7 linked regions of the Cricetulus griseus genome follow. The protein of the gene in region 7 interacts with the protein of the main gene of each other region in a pairwise test. Links are inferred from orthologs where the notes say so. Each region holds a gene or a part of one and is shown on either strand. Other genes may lie near its edges. The genes, in order: Nadk, melanoma-associated antigen B18, Osgin1, Nudt14, Rad51d, Rpia and Lnx1.

Region 1 (3,500 bases), on a different chromosome or scaffold from region 7:
TGTTCTTCCCACCTCAGCCTTTGAAGTTCTAAGATTACAAGTATGAATCACCAAGCTTGGGTTATTTACATAAGTCTTTAAAAAGTTATACAGAATATCACAAATATCAACTTTTGTAGGAACTTAAAGGCTACCAGGCAGGAAATTTAGGGCTTGCAAAGGACAAGAGTCAGCAGGTACTCCCTCTATCCTCCTTGAAGGACAGATGGCAGGGGCAAATTTGCTTATCCCCATGCTGCCCCATGGCATCAGCCATCAACTACAGAAGCTGTCCTGACCTACAGTCACTTTCACAGGTTCAATGTCCCTGGAACCAAAAAAAAAAAAATGTTATGCCAAAACCCACACAAACCAGCAGCTAAGGCAATTCTGCCCAAAGCTGGCAGGGTACAAACATAGTGGTGAAGGCACAAGCAAGAGAGGACAGTGCGTGATCAGCTGTGTACCCAGAGCAAAGGTACTGGCCACTTGGCCTCACTGTAGCCATCTCTCACACAAAGAACTTTCTACATAGAACCTGAAGCTGCCCCTGTTCCTTGTTCCTCCACTGCTACCAGGTAGGAGCTCTGTGAGATCATTATATCTCATAGAAAAGACTCCATGAATGGTTTTAAAGTGGCTCCTCACTATAGAGCCTGTCTTCACATTTCACAGCTGTGACCCTTGTTCTGCAGTCAGTGGCAGTCTCTGGCAAGCTTCCATCTAAAACTTAACAGTGATTGTCACCAGGAGAGAGAACACCTCCTGATGTGCGTGGAGTCCCATGCTTGTCAGGTGACCTTCCCCTGAGGCTTTATGTTGCAGCAAAGGGAGGCAGTGCCATACAACCTGCACTTGAGACCCCGTGGCCTGTGTGTGAGGAGCTGAAAGCTCCAGGTCACATGGTACCTCTGTCCCACCAGCACTTCTTTCTTTCATTCCTGAGCACAATCATGCTTTCCTACCAGCCTAACCGAAGGTCAGCACGGTTCTGGCTGGGTGGTTCTATGCTGAGGAAGAAAGAAAAACATGATGTAGCCTATATTTGGCACATGCCAGTTGGTAACAAGTGCCCAGCACAAATCTCGTGGACAGTGTTTGATCCCTCTGCTAAGGTCAGCACCACTTGGGCAGTGCCCAGCCCCACCCTGTGGACAAAACTCACACTTCAGCAATGCTAAACTACACTGATACAGGCTGTGTCCTCTGCAAGAATCTTAACATGTCCCACCATGGCACGAGAGGAGAACGAATACTTCTGGTCCTACCTGAACTCCTTGGTGCTGCCCAGGGCAGGTGAGGCTGACAGGCTCCGAGACTTGGCCCGGCCTCTGATAGGATGATTGTAGCTCCAGGTCTCATCCCCATGACATGCTGAGCAGTGGTATGAGGCTGAATCAGGGCTCAACTCCTTCCTCACATTCATCTTTTCTTGTTCCATTTCCATAGTTGATATGAGAAAAACACCGATGCCTTAATTTGATAAAATAAAAAAAGTCAATGTATGTGGGCAGCAGGAATAAACACTCAGTCTATCCAAGGAAATGTTGGTTGTGATTATCTGAACAACTGTAGTCTTGCTCCCATAAGACCCTCGGGATATTCCTTGTGGAAGGATGAGGGAAATTCTTGAAGCCCCTCACTTCCCTGAAGATATAACACTACTGGGAAAAGACTCTACTGATACAGCTGTCTGAGTCACCCAGGATCCAGTAAGTAACCTCAATAAACTGTTGAACTTGGTTGATCATTTATCAACACCTTCTCTATCTGGGTGAACAGAAAACAGACTCCTGCTGGGTGGTGGTGCATGCCTTTTTATTCCCAGCACCCAAGGGGCAGAGGCAGGGGGATGGATCTCTGTGGGTGTGAGGCCAGCCTGGTCTACAGAGCAAGTTCCAGGACAGGTTCCAAAGCTACACAAACCCTGTCTTGAAAAACCAACAAAACAAAACAAAAGCAAACAAACAAAAACCAAAACAGACTCCCTAAGAAAAGTCACATGCAACAGGAAAAAACTGCCAGGTTTTGGTTTTCCAAACTTCTTAAATAATATGCTACTTTCACCCTAAAGACAGCTAAGAACTCAGAATCTTTCTTGTCATTTTTCTTCAGTGCCAGAGACTGCACCCGGTGCCTAGCACATTCCAGCTAAGTGCTCTATGACTAAGATGTGCCTTCACCCCTCACTGGTGTTTCTGAACCAATCTAAAGATAGGGGAAAGTAAGGACAAAATAACCCAGTTAGATAAAAGGGTCTCTGGAAGGATGGACACAGAGCAACACACAGCAGCCTTTGTGGCCAAATAATTAAGATCAAAACATAAAGTTGTGGTGTAGAGAGCAGCACAATAATATACTTTTCATTCTCTAACAGTTGAAGAGCAGGTATGTGCTGGGGTGCACCCCTACAAAGTCTACAAGGTCAGTCAGTACCAAAGAAAGTCATCAGAACTGAACTGTAATAACCTTCCAAGACAACTTCAAGTCCCAAATGTCTTGAAGGTGCACAATTCTGACCATGGCTCAATAAAATTCGTGGGGGGGGGGGAGACAAAGGAAGAAAAAAAAAAAGCCTCTCTCCACTTGGAATTTTGAAACATTCTCCCAGACCACTCTGGGCCAAAGTCAGCATGGGAAGCCTCTTGGGCAACATCCAGACAGTGAAACCAGGCAAACACAAAGTTTATTTTTACTCCCCTAGAACTGAGCTAGATTTTCTGAGGATGAGTGGTAGTGAACTAACAAAACTCGAAATGGAATAAAACGAGCTGGCCTGGTAGTGGTGGTACATGCCTTTAATCCCACCCCTAGGGAGGCAGCGGGGACAATCAGATCCAGGCCAGTCATGGCTACAACTAGACTCCTGTCTTTAAAACAAAACTACAAAGGCTAGGCATGGGGACGAAAGCCCATGAAGCCAGGAGGCAGAGGCAGGATCTCTGAGTATGAAGTCATCCTGGTCTAAAGAGAATTCTAGGACAGCCAGGGCTACAAAATAGAGACCCTGTCTCAACAAACAAACAAAACTAGCAGAGACAAGCAGAGCTCTGTGAATTCCAGTCCAGTCAGGGTTACATTTTAATCAACTAGTTTCATTTAAGTGACTGGAAGAACTGGGTCTTAGCTTCTTTTCGGTTGCTGTGATAAACATTGACAAAAGCACTTAAGAGAGGAACAGATTTACTTAGCTTACATATCTAGTTCACAGGCCATCACTGAGGGAAGTCATAGCAAAGCCCTGTAGGAGCCATGGAGTAAAGCCACTCACCACCCAGGAACAGCTGGACAGGTTATGGTACCACTCACAATGGGCTGGTTCCTCCTACATCAACAGTCATGACAATCTTTCACAAGCCCATAGACCAACCTGATGAGTCAAAAACGAGGAGCCTGGATGGAGAATGTGCTACAAGCACGCACTCAACACAAGCCATGCTTAATAAGGAAATAACTGTATTTTGCCATCAGAGAAGAGAAGTAGCTGGGCCTGGTGACAAACACTTTTAATCCAGACAGAG
Region 2 (2,794 bases), on a different chromosome or scaffold from region 7:
ATGGACACAGGTGTGGGTTCATTCGCTGGAACATGGAGAACTCATCAGTGGTCACACCCCTAAATAAAATTCACTCTCTCTGCCCACAACAGCTTCAAACTATGAAAGGGCGATAAATGTATAAGCAAATTCATTAATAATTTTGCATTTAAAGGTATTGAAGTCTACTGATAGAAACATCTGAAATATAACATAAAAATGAAACTTAAAGTAACAAATATGGCATAGGAATGCAATGATGTTATTCAATGTGCTCCTTTCAGACCTATGCTGCCCACATACTACTTAAAATGTTCACTATCCTTAATTTCCACATAGGAAACCTTCCTCAGACTTCAATATTGAAAATATAGCCTAGAACTAAAAGATGGAAAAAGGTAAAACTGGAATACAACAGAAAAACTAATATTATAAGCACTTTTTCTCCTCAGCCCATATTAGCACTTCACTATTAGGTAGCTGACAGACCTTTACAAATAGTGAGGCAACAGACTTAGCTATTACTTAGCATGGGAGAAGCTGCTAACCATGGCTTTTGAATGTGAACTGGCCGTAGCAGCAGTGCGAGCCCTAGCGGCAGACCTAGCTTGGGCTCTTTCTTCCTCATCTTTCAAAGCTATTTCATACAAGGGCACAAAGGCATCTGGTGTAGTATCATGAATCTTGGCCCAAAACTCCAGGACTTTCATCTTGCTGATCTCAGCCTGGGCTCTGGAACCCCATGTGAATTCAAAGGATGGAGGATTGCTGTCAGGCACTTTTCGGTACTCCAAGTACTTTAGGTTTACCAAATCTTCAGTGATAACTTTGGTAGGGTCTCCATAGATGAAGTGTTTTCGGTTAGCATATACACCCATCATATTAAGCACCTCCCAGACATCCTTTTCAGAGGCACAGTTATTTTTCTTAAAGATCACACCCAACACCATCATTAATAGGCCAGTATTGGGCATTATTTCTTCACCCCTCATGACATCAAAGGTATGATCTAATTTATTGAAAAGGGCATAACTGTGCCTGACAGGATCCACTTCCTTCAGATCAACACCAAAGGCCAGTTCCATGTGCTCTGAGGCTCTCTTTAGGATCTCATTGAAGTGACCTTTTGATGTTTTGACTACACACTTCTGCATATCTGCCTTTGTAATAACCTCCTTCTTGTGATACTTCTCCATCAGGAACTGCACCAATAAGACTACTTTACGATTTATAGGATCTTTACTCCAGGCCTCAAGCTCATCAGAGTCATCTGAATTTTTTTCATCTTGGTTTTCAGGCCCTGTACTTTCATATGTGTGTGTAAAGTTATAGTGAGCTCCCTGTGGCATGTTGGGAGGTGTAGGCATACCAGTATCAGGATCAGCCTGATCTGGAAACTCACTGAAAGGACCTGAAGAGGCCTCTCCTTCCTTTGGTGCATTTTTAGCACGGGCCTGGCGGCGCTTCTCACGGGCACGGAGCTTGCTCTTCTGGCCACGGGGCATGATGACTGTAGTTAGTGGGGAAACACAGATAGTACTGCAAACAGGTTAAGGAAGAGGTCACCCTGTAAAACAGAGGATGAGATAATTTGTACAATCTCTGTTGGTAGATCCTACTGTTCGTTACTCCATGAACAGCCACCTCGCCCGGTTCCCGTTAACTGACTTAGGAACCCAAAAGGGAAGGGGGTATTTAGACCTTGTCAACTCAGTTCCAACTCACAATATTAACTCTCCTCCTGACCAGTACTGTTTCTCCCGTTGCTAAAGGTTGTCTCTATCGACGTTGAGTCCCCAAATGCCGAGTGGAAGCACTGTGCCACAAGCGCCGTAGTTGGAGACACCTGAATTAAAAAATAGGGGTAGGATAATTTGGAGCAGGTCCCTTTGGGAAGGACTCTGGTCTGTGGGGAGAATGTTCCAGAATATACCTTGACACAAGGACGTTCCTACAATTCCTCACCAGACGACGCTCCGACGGCTTCACTGGCGACGAAGACAGCGCGAAAATAACGGCCGTTGAAGAAAAGCGGATATTACGGACATCCATTTCCGGTCACGCCCACACAGTCCTTTAAAAGCAACCACGCAGGCGCAGACGGAAGTAGGGGGCTCTGTCAATCAACCACTCTCCCGAGGGCTGTTGCTTCCAAGAAATTTAGTAGTTTTTTCTTTGCCTTTTCACTGTGACTTGAATTTTTCACTCTTATGAGCAGAGTCCACCTGCCTCGGATCCTGAATCTCATTTTATTGAGAGTCCTGACTATTAAAGTAAAAGCCTAAATTCAGTAGCCATTTCTGATACGTTTCACAACAGACAACAGACGAGGAGTTTTTTTACGGCATCTCCCGTGGATGACAATATGAGTGTTGTCAGTCCTTATTCAATATCTAACCATGACCATAAGTGCTGAGCTAGCTTTTCTCAATCTGCTGACTTCAGGACCGACCTTCCCACCAGGTAAGACAGTAAATACACAAACAATTTAAGTGTGGTTGGTATCTGAATAATAATACCCTATTCAGTATAAATAGACATATCTTATGACATAAATTGGGACGTCTTTTACCTAGTTTGTCAGCAAATTCTCAAACTGGCTTTGGTAAAGATTTTGTGTGGTTTTGTTAATTCTCTTCTTATTAATATTTTGGATATTTTTTACATTAAAGCTGATATAGGAAACATAAGTGTTATTATACTTACAGGGTATGAGACAAGGGTTTATTATTTATTAAGTAATGTTTAAATTAAGACAAATATTTATCTCTGTAAACTTTTCTCATAGTAAAAATATATTTTCATTATAGTTTAA
Region 3 (4,289 bases), on a different chromosome or scaffold from region 7:
CCTGGGAGGGCGCAGGTGGCTCCCTGCTGTTATTAGAAACCATATGGCCTTCCCATACAGGGCCTAAGAGGATACTGAAGTAGCATGACCAATGGCAGTAATTGTAGCAGCCAACACCAGGCATTGTCAGACTTCCGTAGAGCTGTTGCTACTCAAGGTCCAAGCCCTCTACACACACCAGTTCATGCTTATAATATTTATCTGAGTGGTAAAAGTACTCTTTCGATCACTCCCAATTTACAGATAGAGACTGAGGCTGGAGACCTTTGCTTCAAGGAGCCTATCCTACATCTAGTCAGGGGGACTGGACTTGTACCGGGCCATCTCATTCCAGAACCTTTTCTGTGCTCCTGCAAGTGTAGGGGCCAGAGACTCATCATGCACTGTGTGGTTGTACCCAATGGCCTGCTGCAGGGTCAGTCTCTCACTGACCGTGCAGCTATGGTCAGAGCCTTGGGCATTCAGGCTGCAGTTCCTGGAAGGCAATCCCCTCCCAAGTGCACCCGAGGAACATCAAAGGGCCTGGGCTTTCTCCCTCCTGCCTCTGCTATCCCCAGGAACAGCAGCAACCCACTTCTCAGATGAGGAGACTGAGGTTTCAGGGGAAAAGTCATGCCCCCAAAGCTTCAGAACAAGCAGTTAACAGAACTGAAAATTGATCCCTGTGGGCAGAACCCTACTAGACATTCCAACACTCCTAAAAAGAGCATGCCAAGTATCCCTGGAGACCTGAGGTGCCAACCCTTTCCTTCATTGTAATACCCCAGCATACAACTCCTCACTGGTGCCAGCAGGAGGCCCTGTCCACACAGGCCAGATCCAAGGGGATGCCCAAGTTGCTTCACAGGAAGTAGGATGGGCTAATACTTTGGAGGACTTTGCACTCCAAGACCAGGCCCCTTTCCCAGCACAGCTGGCAGAGGCTTCACCTGGAGCTGCTGGATGCCATACACATGAGGTCACCACCAGGCCCCGGCCCCCCGTCCCCCCCAGGTCACATCCTCCAAGCTGCTCACCCTCACAACCACCCACAAACATTAGCTACACATTTATAAAGCAAAACAACTTCTCTGCACTTCAGCTCCACTCTCTGGCTGTATTTTGTAGAGTTGGAATAAGCCTCCTGGTTTGTTTGAGACAGGGTCTCCTGCAGCCAAGGGTGGCTTTAAACTACACCAAGCCTCTGATGGCCTACAACTCTTGATCCTCCTGCCAGCACCTCCCAAGTGCTCAGATTACAGGAGCGAGTCCCCCACCCTGAAGTTTAGAACAGCCCCTTTTTGATGTCCCTCTGGTAGGGCAATAGTGACATAAAAGTTAACACGATGAATTGCTGGTGTGGGTGGCCAGGGAGATGGCTCAGTGGGTACAGTGCCTGCCTCACAGTGCAAGGACCTGAGTTAGGATCCCTTGTGCCCCTGTAAAAAGCAAATGTCTATAATCCCAGGTCTGGAGGGAAGCGGCCTGGAGACAACTGGCTGGCTAGCTGAATCAATGGGCTCCAGGTTCAGTCCAGGAGAGCCAGGGAAATGGCCCAACAGGTAACTTGTTACATAAGGGTGGTGACCTGATTTGATCCCTAGGACTCAATAAAGATGGGAGGAGAAACTGACTCCTGACCCCTAAGGGTGACTGACTGACCCCCCAACACACTTTCTCTATTAAAAAAAAAAAAAGATTAAAAATAAGGTGTCTCCCATCTAAGTACTAACCATGGCCAGCCTGGTCTACAAAGTGAGTTCCAGGACAGCCAGGGCTACACAGAGAAACCCTGTCTTGAATAAACAAAGATAAAGAAATAAATAATAAAGAAAAAGAAAGTGGACAGCGATTGAGGAAGTTGCTAGGCATCAACCTCTGACCTCCACAGGTATGAGCACATGCACCATGCACATAAAAATGAAAAGCAGAATTTCTCATAAGTGTCAATAACTGCCCTGGTGTAACACCACAGATATTTCTGAGGTTATGAAATTGTCACACTGGGGAGGGCTGGGGCCTTGTACCATTTGCCTCTAAGATACTCAAGAGCTGGGGTTTCTTATCCCCACTACACAGAGAAAGAAACTGAGGTAGGGTAGAGGAAGGCATCTTGTCTAGGTCTCAGACAGCCTAGTTTGGTCCCCTTCCCCTCCATTCCCAAACAAAGCAACAAGTAACAGTGACAGCTGCTAGTGACACAAAGTCCTGGGGCGTGAGGAAGTGCGCAGTCAGCCAAGTATTACCCGGCCTTAGTCACAATGAACACTTATTTCAAGTGCCTGCCCCACCTGAGCCCAAGGATTCCTGATGCCCCACCTCCAAGCACCTTCCATAAGCTTAGTGCCCAGACCCCTGGGCTGTGCCCATCTGTGCCTGACACACAGGGCACAGCACCCACTGGACTATAGACATGGTGGCCATGGATCAAGGCTATTCACACTTCTTCCTGCCAGAACAGCTACTCCATGGGCTGGATGAGGCTGTTGGGGAGAGTGGCCCAGGCACCTGGACATGGACATGGCTGGGAGGAGCAGGGAGGAATCCCAGAGTCCTGCTCAGGACCAAGTTACTTACTGCCCTGCTGCCCTGTCTGGCTTCCCTTTCCCCACAGCTATCACTTCCCACCCACAGCCTTGCCCAGGCCACTCACCTGATGGGCAGTAGCTGGAGGGAGTTGGTGAACCTGGGTTGGCAGGACACTCAGAGGAACTTGGTCAGGGTTTGGGACTTGGTCACGGTGACTGACTGCAGGAACAGGATGTCCATTAGCCCTGGAGATCCCAGAGGCTGTGAGAGGCCCAAGGCTAGCAGGGGTATTTCACTGCAGGGCTGGGAGGAGGCGGAGGCAGGGGCGGGGCCAGGAAAATCACTTTCATAAGCATGAGTCAGCAGGGGCCCCTGGGTGAATGAACTTGCCCCTGGCCAGCCTTAAAGGGCCCCTGCTGGTCAGCCCCCCTTTTTAGGCTCGATCTGAAGGAGGAACTGTGACCCTTGGGAGAGATCACCTGGTCTCTTCCCTATGGGAACAACTTTGCCATGTGCAATTGAAATGACTGGCCTGCTGGCCCCTGAAGTACCTTATGCAGCTGTTCCACCAGGCTTCCACCCCAGCTTGTGGGGAGGGGGGCAGAAAAAAAGCCACCAGGCACCAGCCTGACCCCTGGTAATCCCCACTCTGTAACTTCTTGGTTGGAGGCTCTGGACAAACCTCAGTTTCCCTATCTGAAAAACGGGGTTGAGCTTGATTCCTTCCTGGGCTGGGGTGTGTGGGCCAGAGGATTGTGTGGTATCTCCCTGGTCCTCATAGACTTCCCTTCCTGTAGAGGAGCGGGGAGGGGTCACACCATCTGCTAAACTGTTCTTGAGTTTGCTGAATGGAAGCTTGGTCCTGGGGTGGCACTGTTTGCTGCCTACTAGGTCTGGGACAGCACTCTCCACAAAGGTGTTCAGTATTTGCTCCAACAGAAGGAAGTTGGGTAGGGGTTTAGGTCACTGTCAACCTTGGTGACCATTACCTGTTCCTGTCATTATCAGCTGTCACCCTCATGGTCCTCTCTGCCACCAGGGCAAGGACTGGGGGGTGGGTGTCAGGCTCTTGCTCTAAGAACCAACACTAAGAGGGACTCCACACACTAACCAAGAAAGTGACGCTTAGATGCAATTTTCTAAAAAAAAAAAAATGAAGAAAATTTAAAAAAGATGAATACAAACGCCAGATAAAGAACCCTTCAAAGACCCTGTAAAGAAAGACAGGGTCCTTAGGCCCACCTTGTGGAGCAGCCTCCAGCTGGGAGAATCTTGGCTACTAGCACACATTTTTATTTAAAAATTTAATATTTTGTTTTTCCTGGCTTAAAAAAATTATTATTTAAAATGCTGCATATAGGCCTGGGGAAATAGTTCAGTAGAGCCAGTGCCTAGCATTGCATGAGGCCCTAGGTTCAAGCCCTAGTACCATTAAAAAAAAAAAAAAAAAAAAAAATCCTTCCACAAAACCCTGCTTGCATTCATATGCATATGTTCAAACCTGGGCTCAGGCTGGGAGATGGCTCAGTGGCAGAACACTGCCTAGCATGCTCAAAGCCCTGGATTCAATCCCCAGTACTGCTACACACACACAAACACACACACACACACACTCACACACACACACACATCCCTACCTCACACCACACACACGCGCACACACACACCACACACATTCACACACATCTGAGCCCTAGTTTGCACTAACAGTCTTAATAGGAGAGTCTGTTCCCCAAGGAGTACATGGTGCCAAACCACCATCTGGCAGAGGGGCACCTCTT
Region 4 (2,425 bases), on a different chromosome or scaffold from region 7:
CAGTCCCAGGAAGGCCCAGAGGGACAGGTGCTCTGACCTTCACTTAGCCGTACCCTCAGTCAAGCTTCCTCACGGCCACACCCTCCCCTTCAGAGTATGAGTCTGAGTAGGGTGACCACTGTCCAGACTCTCACTGGCTCCCCCATACCTTCAGTCAGGACACAGCCCAGAGACCTTGCATGTGAAATCTCTCGGAGACAAGGTTCCCGTCTTCAACCACCAGCCAGGACCCCTCACCCACCAGGCTAACTTCCTTCCTGCCTTCCATCCCTGTCTGCTCCACACACTGGCCAAACTCCTACGAAGGTCAGGCTCCTTAGATTCCCCTAAAGGCTGCCACGTTGGAAACTGACGGATCTAGGCATCACTGGCTGTCCACACGGAGGGCGCAGAAAAGGGCACAGAGCAGCCCTTCGGAGGCAAATGGTCAACACTGGATCCAACATGCTCCCACCACAGCTAGGCGCTACAGGGTGACGTCCCATGAGACGGAGGCAGGAGGCTGTGTGGAGCGTGCCAGCAGAGAGGTGGCAGGGACTCTGGTCCTTCGTGGTTCAAGGTGGGCTCAACCTCATGGGGTGGCAGGCACCCTAAGACCCTCTTTCTACCCTAAGACCTCAGGGGTCAAGGGTCACACACCACCCTGAGGCAAGGGGTGGCTTCCCATTTGAGGAAGGTAGCCCTGCCTGAGGGAGGCATGTGTGGCTGGCACCTGGACTTCAGTAGGGGTAGTCCCTCCGCCTTCCCCTCCCCAGGACTTGCCCTTCCCTCTCATTCCTGAGCCACCACCGGCTGAGAACAGAGCTGTGACTCACCCCACCCCCAGCGCCCGCCCGGTGCTTAATCCCACAGGAAGTAGAGCATCTGTCGGCAGCAGCTGCCACCCAGAGCCCAACCCCACATGGCTGGGACTGCAGGGCAGGGGCACAGGGTTGAGCATACTCCAGAACCAGCCCCAAAGCACCAGGTCTCGCGCAGCCTAGTTGCTGAGGCACGGTCCGTCAACCTTCTCCCAGTCCTGTGCTGTTCACCTTCAAGGACAGGGTTCTCACCCACTCCCTGACAGCCCGTCTTATCCCGCAGACCACACCTGGTAGCAGCCCGCCCTGCCAAGCCTCCTTACATGTATGTGGCAACCTGGCGCAGATCAGCGGGGTCCAGGTGATAGCCACACTCTTCCCAAGCCTCCTTGCAGGCCACTTCTTCCAGTGAGAGCCCAGGCTGGTCCACGATGCCCGCACAGAGTTCCACCATCACTCCCACGGAGCCGGGCAGTGCTGGCTTAAGCTCTTGGGGCTGGTCCCGGTCCACAGCTGCCAGTGACCCTGGGAAGAGGCGTTCCATCTCGCCTGCATATACAGCTGGTTGGGGGGGGGGGGAAGCATGGCCACATGACGGTCACCTCAGAGTAATCTACTCTGGGCCAGGCACATCTTTCTGGACCTTAGTCTCCCCCAAAGCCACCAATGCATGAGCACTGAGAAGCTCAGGACCAAGGGCCTGAAAGCACCCTGCTATTCCCCCTTCCCAACCCCTGCCCACCCAGCTGGTCTCACCTGGCCGGAACTGCTTCACTAACACCAGGCTTCTTCGAGAAGAGTTGAACATGAGAACAGTCACACTGCATGGGGGAATGGAACTCAGTAAAAGGGCAGGCTCCCCTCTCCCCAGAGCCCCAGTTCCCCTTCCTCTCTTTCCCTGACAGCCCAGGAAAGGTGGAACCCTGCTCAGATGCGACACACAGTCAGTCCATTGCTCAGACAGGAAGGCCACACAGTCAGGCCAATTCACAGACTAGGGGAAGGGGGAGACAGCTGGGGCAGGGGCAGGGGAAGGGGCAGCTGGGAAAAGTAGAGGCCCCTGCTGGCCAGTCTCCCAACGGTCACACCCCTCAAAACCACACTTCCCATGCTCTGGATCCTCAGGAGTAAGATCAACAGATCTCTTCAGCCCTAGGAGGGGCAGCCTGCCACCAGGCCTCAGGGACATGAGAACCAGAGACTAGGTTGAGGTGGAAAGTATCTGAAAACACCAAGGAGAGCAGAAATGGGGGTTTCCCTAGTGGCCGGGCCAGCCCCTCTCACCTGTCATGTGTCTTCATGAAGTCCCAGGACTTCTGGACACCATCCTGAAACAGTCAGGGTAGCAATCAGGAAGGGTGAGCAGCTGCCAGGACACATGGAGCTACATGGCCCAGACAGACTGACTGTAGCAGCTCCCAGCAGGCAGGCCTGCTGCTGGCCTGTACCCATCAGGAATGGGAACTCGCAGGCAGCAGGTGGGGGTGGACGAGGTTTCCCCAGAGGTCAGGACAGCCTAGTGTTCTGGGAAGGGTAAGGTAGAAAATCTGGGCAAAGGGCAGGAAAGGCATTTCAGGAGCAAAAAGTTCTACAGAGACCTATGCTGCCACCAAGCGTGGGGAGGA
Region 5 (3,500 bases), on a different chromosome or scaffold from region 7:
TTTTTTGAGACAGGGTTTCAGGGTTTCTCTGTGGCTTTGGAGGCTGTCCTGGAACTAGCTCTTGTAGACCAGGCTAGTCTCAAACTCACAGACATCCACCTGCCTCTGCCTCCTGAGTGCTGGGACTAAAGGCGTGCGCCACCACCGCCCAGTGACAAGAGATTTCTTTCAGACAGGGTGTAGGTATGAAAAGTTGGCTCACAACCACCCAGGGCATCTGATACCTCTTGTCTCCAGAGGCCCCTCACAGATTTTTTTAAATTTATTTTTATTCTATGTGCATTGGTGTTTTGTCTGCATGCATGTCTGTGTGAGGGTGTCAGATCTTGGAGTTACAGACAGTTGTGAGCTGCCATGTAGGCGCTACTCTGGAAGAGTAGTCATTGCTCTTAACTGCTGAGCCATCTCTCCAGTCCCCAGTTTTTTTTAGTATGTTCTTTGGCTCAAACTAAGGACCTCATGCTTGGAAGGCAAGCACTTTTATTGACCAAGCCCTCATGCCAGCCTAACCTGGATGGAGTTTTTAAACTCTGTTCAGAAGCAGGATCTAAGTCTAGAGTCTCTCACTGTGTTGCTGATGCTGTTGGAGAACACACCAAGAAGAGCTGCTATGATGGACCTGGGCTTCTGGTGTCTCAGGGAGAATGGGATTCAGAAGCAGAGGCTGGAGACCTATTAAGTAGAGGCTTATTAAACACACCCAGGATGTACACAGAAGCCACAGAGCTGGAGTAAGGACCAGATTTTGACAGGCAGGAGCCTGTGGTCCCTGGAGTTAAAATAGGTGGAGTGGTGACTGGTTGCTGCTTGTCATGTGCTGATATGTCATGGTTGGTCATCAAGAACCTCTTCAGAGGCCTGCAGTGCAGTCTTTGACTATATTTGCCGAGTTAGGAAGGGAGGTGTATGACAGTCAGGCATTGATCCAGGCTGCCTGCCACACAGAAACTTTAGCCCACCCCCACCCCCACCCCCGTCCTGGGCAGCACATGGAGAGTAGTGGTAACTTGTTTTCATGTTGGTTGGGGACAGGAGTGAGGTTAGGAAGTGACCATGTTTTGAAGTTCATCTCAAGGATTCCACAGCCTGAGTTTTGACATTCAAGCCACTGTTCTTGTCATTTCTTCAGTAACATTTACTGTGTGCCTTCAGGGTTTTCGGCTCTGTGCTAATACTGGAGACAAAACAAGGATAAAGACCCAGTCTTTGCCCCCCCCCCCCCCGGGATGCTCCTACCAGATGAGGGAGGCAGACAAAAACAAGCAAATAAAAAATAATTACAAACTCCCAGAACTAATAATCGAGTTTAGCAAGGTCTGGGGATACAAGATCAACACGTAAAAATCAATTGCATTTCGGTAAACTCACAATGAACATTTGAAAACTGAAATTAAAAACGCAATGCCATTTGCTGCCACATCTAAGGAAATGAAATACATAGGTCTAAGTCTGACAAAGACCATGTAGAATTTGTATGCTGAAAATAAAAAATGCTGATGAAGAAGATCAAAGGTGAATCAAATAAATGGAGAGACTTTCTGTGCTCATGAATTACAAGATTCTACAATAGTGAATGCCAACGCTCCCCAACCTCCAACCTCCTTCCTGACCTGCCACCCATACTAGAGATTGAACTCAGGGTTTGCATATAATAAGCAACTACTCTACCATTAAGCTTTTATATATATATATATATATACTATATATATAATATATATATATATATATTTTTTTTTTTTTTTTTTTTTTTTTTTGGGTCAGGTCTCATGTTGCTATTGCCCCAGTCCAAATTTATCTGCAGATTTTTGTTTTTGTTTTTCGAGACAGGGTTTCTCTGTGTAGCTTTGGAGCCTATCCTGGCACTCCCTCTGTAGACCAGGCTGGCCTCGAACTCACAGAGATGCTCCTGCCTCTGCTTCCCAAGTGCTGGGATTAAAGGTGTGCTCCACCAATGCCCGGCCTTATCTGCAGACTTAATACAGCTTCTTCTCTCCTTTCTTTTTCCATCCCCTTCCAACCATCAGCCTGGACAAACTACTTGATGCTGGCCTCTATACAGGGGAGGTGACTGAAATTGTAGGAGGTCCAGGTAGCGGAAAAACCCAGGTACCCTTGGAGCCAACAGAGGGGAGGGTTGGGGGAGGTGGGTGCATTGACCTGGATTCCTCAGGGAGTTCTTGCATGTGTCTCTGTGTTGTTGGAAGGTCAGAACAGACCACATAGGGGCTGAGAATGAGTGTGGCCTTAGCCAGTGTATGTTGTTGGAATCTGGGCAGGATTCAGTGGAGAAGCTGCCTGGTGAGATCCTCTTCTCCAAGGGCTTAGGTTTACTCAGTTCCCTATCTTGTCTCTGAAAGGTGTGCCTGTGTGTGGCTGCAAATGTGGCCCATAGCCTGCAGCAGAATGTACTGTATGTTGATTCCAGTGGAGGAATGACAGCATCCCGCCTCCTGCAGCTACTACAGGCTAGAACCCAAGATGAGGAGAAACAGGTAGGGGGCAAGATGGCTGGGTTCCTTTAAAATCCTCATGTTAGAAGACTTCATGACTACATTGTAAGAATATACACCATCTATGAGAATCATCATTTCTTACTTTGAAACTGGAGCGTCCTCTGCATTCCTAGAGCTGCTCATGTTAATGTCATCATCCCAGCTTGGATGCCACCCACACTGATTCTCCAGGAACTTCCAAGTCCTCGAGTACCATAAATCAGAGGCGGCAAAGGCCTGTATCTGTGTTTCCAGCCCATTTCTTGCCAGGGCAGGCATCACTAATCAATCATATCTGTCCTTCCTGCTGGATCCTGAATGTCTTACAGCTCAGCACCCAGGTAGTCACCACTGTGAGATCCAGCCCATTAGGCAAAACCCATTTGCCATTCCGATGCCAGCACTGTGTCTAAGTGCCTCTTTGCTTTTGCAGCTTTGTGATTACATTTATTGCTTTCCGGGATCTCCTTTCCAAGTCCCTGCTTCTCTGTCCCACCCCTCAGGCAGGTGCTCTCCAGAGGATACAGGTGGTGCATGTATTTGACATCTTCCAGATGCTGGATATGCTACAGGACCTTCGGGGCTCCATGGCCCAGCAGGTGAGCCTGCTCATCTGCCTGTTTCTGCTTTACCCATCTGGCCAGGTGTTGTCTGTATTGGGCCAGGTGTCCTACAGACTCTACTTGGATTGCATGTGTCCAGTGTTACAGCTCCAGCTGTGTTTGCCACCCCCCATCCCTCCACCCCTGCCTGCCTGAGCCTCAGGTGGAATTCCTTGGTGCTTAATTCATAATTCATGTGCTTCATTGTTTACAGGCTCACCAGCCCTGTACAACAGTGAGCTCCTTGAGTACAGAATTATATTGTCTTCATCTCTGCATTACTCACTGAAATCAATTAGGAAAACTCTCTCTCTCTCTCTCTCTCTCTCTCTCTCTCTCTCTCTCTCTCTCTCTGTCTCCGTGTGTGTGTGTGTGTGTGTGTGTGTGTGTGTGTGTGTGTGTGTGT
Region 6 (4,191 bases), on a different chromosome or scaffold from region 7:
CTGAACAGCACTTGTATACCTGCTTTTGGTGGCTCCTAATGGTGACTGAAGAACTTTCCCCTCCTTTTTTGGTAAAGGAGTCTATCAAGTGGTCCCTGAGTGTACTGGGCAGGATTACACTCTGATAAGATAAAACTCAGGCTGGAAAAGTTGCAAATAGGTGTTGCAACTTACCTTTATTGTTCCTAGGGGTTCTTGGAAAATTCTAGTTAGGGGTGTGGTGGCACACGCCTTTAATCCCAGCACTTTGAAAGCAGAGGCAGGCAGATCTCTGCAAGTTCAAGGCCAGTCTGGTCTACAGAGTGCCAGGACTGGCTCCAAAGCTACACAGAGAAACCCTGTCTGGAAAACCCCAAAACCAACAAAAAGAGCTCCCAGCTCTATTTGATGACATACTCATGTAATCCAAGCTCAGAATGTCCAAGTTCCAGGCCAGTTTGGGCTACACAGTGAGTACAGGCTAGTGAGGCTGTAGAAAGAGATTAAGAACTTCCAAGTGTTCAGTAAGGCTTAGCACCAGTTTCCAGCTTGTAAAAGGTGGTGATAAGAATTCTTCACCCTTACATTGCAGCAAACTAAAGGCAGAGGAGGCCCAAAGGTTTGAGTTTTAAAATTCCTCATCATCAAGAACTGCGGGATCTCTAGAGGGCACACTGGCCTGTGTGAACACCCAGGCTCCGTCTACACACCATGCCATCCAATACCAACAGCAGAACAATAATCCAAGGCTACCGACTGAACTTGTGGTCTTGGGTTTGTGAAGGTCTAGCAGACTTCAGAAGGCCTGGGAGTCTCAAGTGTATGTCACCAAGGAGCCAATCTTGTTGTGAGGTGAGGTGGCTCAGCCAGTTAAGTACTGACATAGGTGTTCAATTCCCACTACCCAAGTTGTCAGATAATGGACTCCTGCAAGTTGTCCTCTATGACCCACACAAGCCTGCACTCAAGCACACAAAGTACAACTTAAGTAATAAAATGCAATTACACAAAAAAGTTGTGTTGTTAGAACTTGAGTTTCTGGGGAAAACAAAGTCAGGTTTTCAACAGGTCTCTCCTTTTTTTTTTTTTTTTTTTTTTTTTTTTTGCACTGTTTTTTGAATGCGTGTACAGCCAGAAAAGTTCTCGGAGTTCACCTGACGGTGTAAACACTTTACCTCAGGGCAGACAGTTGTTGGTTTTCTAGACAGCTGCTATCCTGACCTTCCGGACAGAAAGGCGGGAGTCAAGGCGGGCGATTTGCTCGCTAGGTCGCACGCATTGTGGGGCTTGTAGTCCAGATTGCCTCAAGGCTTGAGGCCGCTGACTCCTCGGGACTACATTTCCCAGCAGCATGCGCTCAGCAATGCGCGCGGATTAGGTTGCTCGAGCGAGCCGATTTCCGGAGGCGCGGGGGGCGGGGCGGCCGCAGAGGCTGGAGCGAGGTGGCGGGATGCAGCGCCCCGGGCCCTTCAGCACCCTCTACGGGCGGGTCCTGGCCCCACTGCCCGGGCGGGCCGGGGGCGCGGCCTCGGGCGGGGGCGGGAACAACTGGGGCCTCTCGGGCTCCCATGTGCAACTGCCGGGGCGTGCACAGTCTGAGACCCACGGCCACAAGGGAGGCTCGAGCGCGGGCGGCCCAGCCCCCTCCACGATGTCCAAGGCCGAGGAGGCTAAGAAGCTGGCGAGCCACACGGCGGTGGAGAACCACGTGAAGGTGGGCAGCTTGTGGCGGCGTGATGGCTTCGTGCTGCGCCTGACGCCTGACGCCTGAAAGGGAGGGGGGCGGCAGCAGGAGAGGGAGAGGGTGAGCCTTGTATCCGAATACACGCTGCTCTTCCCAACCCCTGAAAGGCCTTGTAGACGTCGAATTGGTAGGTGCCAACTCTCCCCCAAATAGAGCCCCCCACCCCACCAAGATTTCCTGTCCGGCTGCAACTGAGTGTACCGAGGAGCCTGGCATTACCCTGTTGAGAGTCTGTCAGGTTGTTAATGCCTGCCTCCTTCCTAGTCAGCCCATTGAAAATGGTGAGCCCTGAGGCTGCCTCGAGTTCTTCACTTCTCATTCTCCGGAAAGCCACTGGAGAACTGGTTTGCAAAGAGTTTTTGAAATTTTACTCCAAACAAGCTTTTCAGCTCCTCCTGCTTGGGAACTTGAGTGCAATCTTTACAAAGAAGCCATCAAGTTAAGCCTTGCTGTTGACAGGGCCGGGTGGACACGACACCTGGAAGTGGTGTTCTTCAGGTGGAGTCCAGATGTTTAACAGTTACTCAGTCAGGTTGCGTCCCCATTTGGCTTGTTAAGTGGCAGGTGTGGTGCTATGAGTGGACTCTCAGTGTAGCAGGTTAATTATCTTAACTGTATTATTTCTGCAGCCCTGTGGTGGAGTTTCCTGGTCTCGGTTTCTGCTTCTTAGATAGGGTTATCAGAATCCATTTCTGCATAAAAGGAAGTTTTTTTTTTTTTTTCCATTTGCTAGTGTTATGCTGCACAAAGCTGCTTTGCAAAGATGATGTTCTTAGAGATTTTTCTAACTTCCTGCCATGCGTGAGGGCGGCCTGAGTGGGTGGGTCCGGGTCTGATAACCTCTGGCTCAGTCTGTTCTACACCACTCTTGTTTCAGGCAGGGTTTCTATGCTCTTCTGTTCTGGTGTAGCTCTTTGCTCCTTTAGTTTGCATAGGATTTTATACTCGATTTAAGAGGGTGTAGGGTATATGAGTATGAACGTAAAATGAGTGATTTGGCTTTGTGTTTGGAATTTGGTGCCACAGCTGTAAAACTGGAACGTAAAGTGAAATTTCAAAATACCTTCATGAAGTGACTTAACAGATTGGTAAATGCAATCTATACCTTAGGAGAGCCCCTTATCTAAGCTATCGTTTAACGTTTAGTGGCACATGTCTCCCTGACCTTTGTTTTATAGTTACGTATTTGATTAAACTAAAATCTGCAAGCTTTCATCTCATGTTAGAGTCCCCAAACACTGGATTCTAGCTATACTCAAAGAATTACCAGAGAATCCTTGGGAGATCTCTATTGAATTTTGGGAATGTCTTCAAATAGGGTTGTTTGTCCTGTAGGGTTTGATTCAAAGGTCTTTACTATTTCCAGTTTTCCCTTGGCTTCCTAAGGACACTAGAAGATAATTTCCTCTTCCTATTTGGAGACTCAGGCTGACTAGCAGCTTGCCAGGAACTTGATATGTGAACCACGCTGGCCTTGAGTGCTGGGATTAAAGGTGTGCACCACCACATACCTAGATGCTCTGATTCTACCGCCTAAGTGCTGGCATTATAGGTATGTGGTGCTACACTCAGCTTCCTTCAATTGTTTATGACTCCAGACACTTGTGACCTATGCTCTAGTCCTCTGTGCATTTCTCTTGCCTAACTCCCCATGAGCTCTGGGAGGAGACTTATCGTTATCTGCACATTCAGTGTTGGGTACAGTGAGACCTGCTTAGGCAATGTTCATTGGGTTGTGTAGAGTGTGAACACTGATATGGTGGTTGTGGGTTATGGAGGCCCTTTTCCTAGGCTCTCTGAGTTTGGGGTTTCCAGTCTCCCCAATCTCCGCTGACTGTTTCTACTTCAGAGTAGATGGAAAACTCAGAATTCTCAGTTGAATCTTTGCAACCAGGTCCAGACCTGCCTGATTCTAAAAATGTAGTTATCTTGGATGTGTTACTGTGCTGTCCTCATGGCCTGTTGCTTCATCCTTTGCTCTTTGTGAGGCCTCGGCTTTGTTTTGAGATCAGCTTAGCTTGAGGAAACTAGTGAGCAGACACTAGTATTAATATTATTATTAGTAGTAACATTGGTAGTTTGTTTTTTGAGACAGTCTCACTAGATAGCCCTGGTTGCTGTGGAATTCACTATGTAGACTAGGCTGGCCCTCAGACTCTCAAGAGATTTGCCTGCCACTAACTCTCAAATGCTGGAATTAAAGGTGTGGACCACCACACCTATCGAATTCTGTGTTTTCAGTCTGATAAAAGCCTGTTTTACTAACACACTGTTCCAGACTCATCACATATCCCGCCCCTCCCCCCAACCCACCAGAGCCAATCTCATAGATTTTTGAGATCACCCCATTGGACACTATACTGTTTAGGACTGCCCATTAGAAGGGCTGTCAGCTGTTGGGCTAGTTTGCAGGCAGCCCTTGGCCACTTCTAGTTGGACTAGGGCACAGACTCCTGCCTCTGTCATTT
Region 7 (4,216 bases):
GAGTAAATAAAGTTCCTGGGACTTTAACTTCCAACTCCAAAGAGTGTTTTGGAAGGTGTCAAAAGAGCCAGATCTTGAAGTTAAAATCCTGCTCTCTCTCTCTCTCTCTCTCTCTCTCTCTCTCTCTCTCTCTCTCTGTGTGTGTGTGTGTGTCTGTGTGTGTGGTGTTAGTGGTTGTTTAGCTGTGTGACTTTGGGCTACTTGCCTAACCTCTCTGGATCATTTTCCTTATCTGTGAACTAGGAATGACAACCCTTCTTCTCAGCATTCTTATGACATATGCATGATTTAGAGCATTAGCTGGTACTGAAGAGCTGTTCTTCTTCTTAATGCTGTTATTTTACTGTATAGTTTAATAAAAACCAGATGTGGTACACGCCTGCAAGCCCAAGACTCTCAAGAGGCACAGGTAGGTGGATCACTGTAAGTTTGAGGTCAGTTTTAGACTAGTAAGTTTTAGAGTAACCAAGACTGCAAAGTGAGACCCTCTCTCACAAAACATTAATTTAACCTAAAAGCTTCAATATCAAATAAAAAACAAAGGTGGAAAACAGTGTCTCCTCAGCTCAACTTACACTGGGGAAGATATAAATCATACATGAACTAATATACAATAACTTCCTTTCTGTGGCTTCATAGGTCAACAAGGGCATTTGGAACAAGTTGAGTGACCTCTACATGCCTCAGTATACTTTCCTGAAAACAAAGATACAATGACAGTGAACCATCCTGAGAGCCACACCAATGAGATGCCAGTGACCTTGAAATGTGCCCCAGGCACATGATGATTAAATGAGAAAAGGCACATAGAACCCTTAGGGTGTCTCCTGTATAGATGTGACAAGGATACAGTACATGCCAGCCTGTCACAGATGCTTTGCAAGGGCCCACAAGATAGGTCAGTGGCTCAAGGCACTTGGTGATTGGAGTTCCAGCCTCAGGTCCCACATGGTGAAAGAACACCAACCCTCACAGGTTGTCCTTTGACCTCCACATGCACTGTGACCCATGAGTACACATGTATGTGGGCAGGTACACCCATCTCCACCCACCCACAATAAACAAATGAACAAAGAAAATTAAAGCAATGAATCAAAACAAAGGAATTAACTTGATGCTTATCAATCTCTACAGAACTCATGGTAACTTTTTCTGTTTCAAAAGAAGACTCTATAGCGCCGTGTTGTGAGAATGACAATGATGTGTTTCCCCTCATTTGTGTAGAAAGATGACAAAGAAGACAGTTTCAGTCCTTACTCAGGTGGAGAGGCTAATTAAGGTTAAAAACCAATGCTGTACCCTTGGGAAGGGAGGGGTCACAGAGGGTGGGTGGTGGTCAGGCTGTCACCATCCCTGAAGTGACTCTGGAAACCCAGTCTGTGGCCAGCCTGGGGATGGGGGTGGGGATTCTGTTTACCTTCAGGGACAGTGGCATTCTCAGAGTTCTCCCTGCCCTGGTCAGCACGGTTGGCAACAGCACTCCCACTCTTTGTCCTTCGAAGAACACTCAGAGCTCTGTTAATCTTTTTGAAAGATCGGCTTCTCATAGTGGACCTCTCAAAGGGCCTCGCTGAGGAGAGATGTAACAGAGACAGGAGTTACAGGTTCACAGCCACCATCCTTTAGGCAAGTGCGCTGATATGTGCCTGTAATCCTAGCACTCATGGGGTTGGACAGGAAACTCAGGAAGTCAAAGCTAGCCAGGCACACAGTGAGACTTTGCCTCAAAACAAAAAAGTGACAACAACAACAAAGAAATATTTTATGTATAAAATACATGAAATGGGACAATACTATTAAAATAGTGATTGCCTCTTAGTGGTAAGAGTTTATCTACCTGCACTTGTAATTTTTTTTGTAATGAAAAACATATCCTATTTATGTAAAATCTTTTCTCCCCCTTTAGGTGAGAGTGAATGTAATAACACTTTTAAAGTAGGCAGGGGAGGTCCCCACATGTCAGGAACCATAATTCATCAGGCCTCACCTCAACCGCCTTCACCAAGTCAGATTACACAGCAGTGAAGATTTGAGCACTCACAGTTCCATTTTACTTTGGAGAACTGGACGGAGTGGCTGCCAAAACTACCAGAACCATTTCCCCTTTTGCAAAAACATTTCTAGAACTTTCCGCAGTGAGTATTCTACAGAGGGCAATCCCAGGGAAAACCAAGAGCCTATTCACAGACACCCACCCATTTGACTCACCCCTAGTTCGGTTGCTCCGGCCGGAGTCTGAGGAGTTGGTTACTGGCTCACCATCCTCCACTGTGGACACATAGGCAGGGTTGTCTAAGCCAGGCTCATCGGTCATTAAAGAGATGGTGGCAGCTGCAGAAACTTCTGGGGAGAGTGGCATTGCTGTGAGGCTGGCACAGCCATCAGTGCAGCCATCTTGTGAGCGCCTTTTCCGGTCCTTGGTCAGGCCATAGTGGGAGGCACCTTTGCAGCTGGAACAAACCCAAAGGGGCAGTTAGAATGTTTAGTAGGGTTCCAATACACACATCTGTCCCTGTACACCCCTCCCTTTTCACACATACTAATTCAATATATGCTTGCCAGCCAGATACATAAATGACTTGAGATAATAATTTTTAAAATTGCCTATTACGTTCTACTAGCATAATCTCCACATTGGCTGCTGAACAGTAGGAAATTAAATCTACCTGACTGGGGTGTGAGGATGGAGGCCTCTAGCATTTGGACTTGGCAGTTGCTTCTAACTGGTATCTATTTTGACTACGAAAGCCTGTCATCACATTCTCACTCCTTTCTTTTGGGTTTGGTTCCACAGCACTGGACATAAATGTACGAGGCCACTCCCAGATCCTGTATTTAGCTGACCATGGAAACAGAATTGCCCTTGCCACAAAGCCACAAGGTTTACTCAGAACTGCTATTCTCTAGGGGTAGGCGTGGTGGCTTCCATTCCTGTCCCATTCCTGTCCCATTCCTAGGGCTGGTAGGGCCTCCCATGCTTTTCAGAGGGACCAACACCAGGGGCTCTCACACACTGGAAAATGCTGCATCACCAACATTGGGAGAGAAAAACATCTTTGATAGTTTATTTATTTATTATTATTAACAAAAGAAACTTCTTCTGTGCATTTCCTTCTGTCTATCCATCTTACCATTTCACTAAAAAACAAACTTTGTAAAGTAGACCAGTCCTTGCTACAATAGGGAAGGGAAAGGATGCCCAGGGCGCATAAGACCAATGTTTGAGCCAATTTAGATCCTTATTTTTTCACGAACACATTTCATTGCCACTAGGCTAGTCATTTCAGTTCACTGACAAAGGTTCTGGCCAGGAACTGGGGATGTTTTGTACTGCTGGAGAAGGTAGCCAGATGACACAACTGCTGTTCCAACAGAAATCTTACTAATGAACTCCTTCAAGTGGCCATTTGCCTAACACAGTCTGCTCACTATGTATTGGGTATTCTTATCAGTTTATTACACAAACTCCATATCAGTGGTTCTCAACCTGTGGCTCACAAGCCCTTTGGGGGTTGAACGACTCTTTCACAGGGGTGGCCTAAGACCATCGGAAAATTCAGATATTTACATTATGACTCATAATTTATTTAGGACTTATAATTGCAGTTATGAAATAGCAACAAAATAATTTTATGGCTGGGGTCTGCACACCATGAGAAAAGGGTTGCAACATTAGGAAGGTTGAAAATTGCTGCTGTATATGATTGAAATTTTATTTTCTATTTACTTGCTTATTTTTTTAACATCTGTGTGTGTGTGTGTGTGTGTGTGTGTGTGAGAGAGAGAGAGAGAGAGAGAGAGAGAGAGAGAGACAGAGACAGAGACAGAGACAGAGACAGAGACAGAGAGAGAGAGAGTTCACATAAAAGTCAGGGAATAACTTGTGAGAGCTATTTCTCACCTTCTACCATTTGGGTTCTAGGGAGGGATCCAACTCAGGTCTTCAGGCCTGTCAGCAAGTGCCATTATCTGTTAGACCATCTCTGTGGCTTTCTTTTATTTTTATTTTATTCTTTTTTAAAGAAAGCACAGTAGCCACACTGTGATGGGGATATTTAAAATGCACATTTGTTTATTTATTTAGGTTTTCTGGAACAGGCTCTTGCTATGTGGTCGAGGCTGGCCTGGAACTCACCATCTTCCTACTGCAGCCTACTGTGGGGGTGCACTGCTGCACCCAACTGAATAAACATTTGTAAAGTCACTTGAGTCATGT

Evidence for each region.
Region 1: the proteins of Lnx1 (region 7) and Nadk interact in binary tests that used the Homo sapiens proteins (3 or more experiments, as listed by UniProt). The link is inferred for Cricetulus griseus from reciprocal best matches to the Homo sapiens genes LNX1 and NADK.
Region 2: the proteins of Lnx1 (region 7) and melanoma-associated antigen B18 interact in binary tests that used the Homo sapiens proteins (3 or more experiments, as listed by UniProt). The link is inferred for Cricetulus griseus from reciprocal best matches to the Homo sapiens genes LNX1 and MAGEB18.
Region 3: the proteins of Lnx1 (region 7) and Osgin1 interact in binary tests that used the Homo sapiens proteins (3 or more experiments, as listed by UniProt). The two-hybrid records come from large-scale screens. The link is inferred for Cricetulus griseus from reciprocal best matches to the Homo sapiens genes LNX1 and OSGIN1.
Region 4: the proteins of Lnx1 (region 7) and Nudt14 interact in binary tests that used the Homo sapiens proteins (3 or more experiments, as listed by UniProt). The two-hybrid records come from large-scale screens. The link is inferred for Cricetulus griseus from reciprocal best matches to the Homo sapiens genes LNX1 and NUDT14.
Region 5: the proteins of Lnx1 (region 7) and Rad51d interact in binary tests that used the Homo sapiens proteins (3 or more experiments, as listed by UniProt). The two-hybrid records come from large-scale screens. The link is inferred for Cricetulus griseus from reciprocal best matches to the Homo sapiens genes LNX1 and RAD51D.
Region 6: the proteins of Lnx1 (region 7) and Rpia interact in binary tests that used the Homo sapiens proteins (3 or more experiments, as listed by UniProt). The link is inferred for Cricetulus griseus from reciprocal best matches to the Homo sapiens genes LNX1 and RPIA.

The regions. Positions count from the first base shown.
Region 1 is NC_048595.1:739,966-743,465, forward strand, and holds part of Nadk (NAD kinase), read right to left. Parts: intron 1,453-3,500; 5' UTR 1,427-1,452; coding exon 1,248-1,426; intron 1-1,247.
Region 2 is NC_048604.1:77,629,013-77,631,806, reverse strand, and holds melanoma-associated antigen B18, read right to left. Parts: upstream 1,485-2,794; coding exon 501-1,484; downstream 1-500. UniProt on the Homo sapiens protein: May enhance ubiquitin ligase activity of RING-type zinc finger-containing E3 ubiquitin-protein ligases. Proposed to act through recruitment and/or stabilization of the Ubl-conjugating enzyme (E2) at the E3:substrate complex.
Region 3 is NC_048596.1:196,070,363-196,074,651, reverse strand, and holds the start of Osgin1 (oxidative stress-induced growth inhibitor 1), read right to left. Parts: upstream 2,801-4,289; 5' UTR 2,633-2,800; intron 1-2,632. UniProt on the Homo sapiens protein: Monooxygenase catalytic activity. Involved in regulation of cytokinesis; promotes RHOA activity, probably acting locally at the midbody in late cytokinesis.
Region 4 is NC_048598.1:181,118,283-181,120,707, reverse strand, and holds part of Nudt14 (uridine diphosphate glucose pyrophosphatase NUDT14), read right to left. Parts: intron 2,129-2,425; coding exon 2,085-2,128; intron 1,622-2,084; coding exon 1,557-1,621; intron 1,362-1,556; coding exon 1,124-1,361; intron 1-1,123. UniProt on the Homo sapiens protein: Hydrolyzes UDP-glucose to glucose 1-phosphate and UMP and ADP-ribose to ribose 5-phosphate and AMP. The physiological substrate is probably UDP-glucose. Poor activity on other substrates such as ADP-glucose, CDP-glucose, GDP-glucose and GDP-mannose.
Region 5 is NC_048600.1:96,305,149-96,308,648, reverse strand, and holds part of Rad51d (DNA repair protein RAD51 homolog 4), read left to right. Parts: intron 1-2,024; coding exon 2,025-2,106; intron 2,107-2,357; coding exon 2,358-2,492; intron 2,493-2,995; coding exon 2,996-3,091; intron 3,092-3,500. UniProt on the Homo sapiens protein: Involved in the homologous recombination repair (HRR) pathway of double-stranded DNA breaks arising during DNA replication or induced by DNA-damaging agents. Bind to single-stranded DNA (ssDNA) and has DNA-dependent ATPase activity.
Region 6 is NC_048601.1:62,432,077-62,436,267, reverse strand, and holds the start of Rpia (ribose-5-phosphate isomerase), read left to right. Parts: upstream 1-1,391; 5' UTR 1,392-1,429; coding exon 1,430-1,693; intron 1,694-4,191. UniProt on the Homo sapiens protein: Catalyzes the reversible conversion of ribose-5-phosphate to ribulose 5-phosphate and participates in the first step of the non-oxidative branch of the pentose phosphate pathway.
Region 7 is NW_023276807.1:141,138,860-141,143,075, forward strand, and holds the start of Lnx1 (E3 ubiquitin-protein ligase LNX), read right to left. Parts: upstream 2,801-4,216; 5' UTR 2,667-2,800; intron 2,451-2,666; 5' UTR 2,360-2,450; coding exon 2,209-2,359; intron 1,571-2,208; coding exon 1,418-1,570; intron 1-1,417.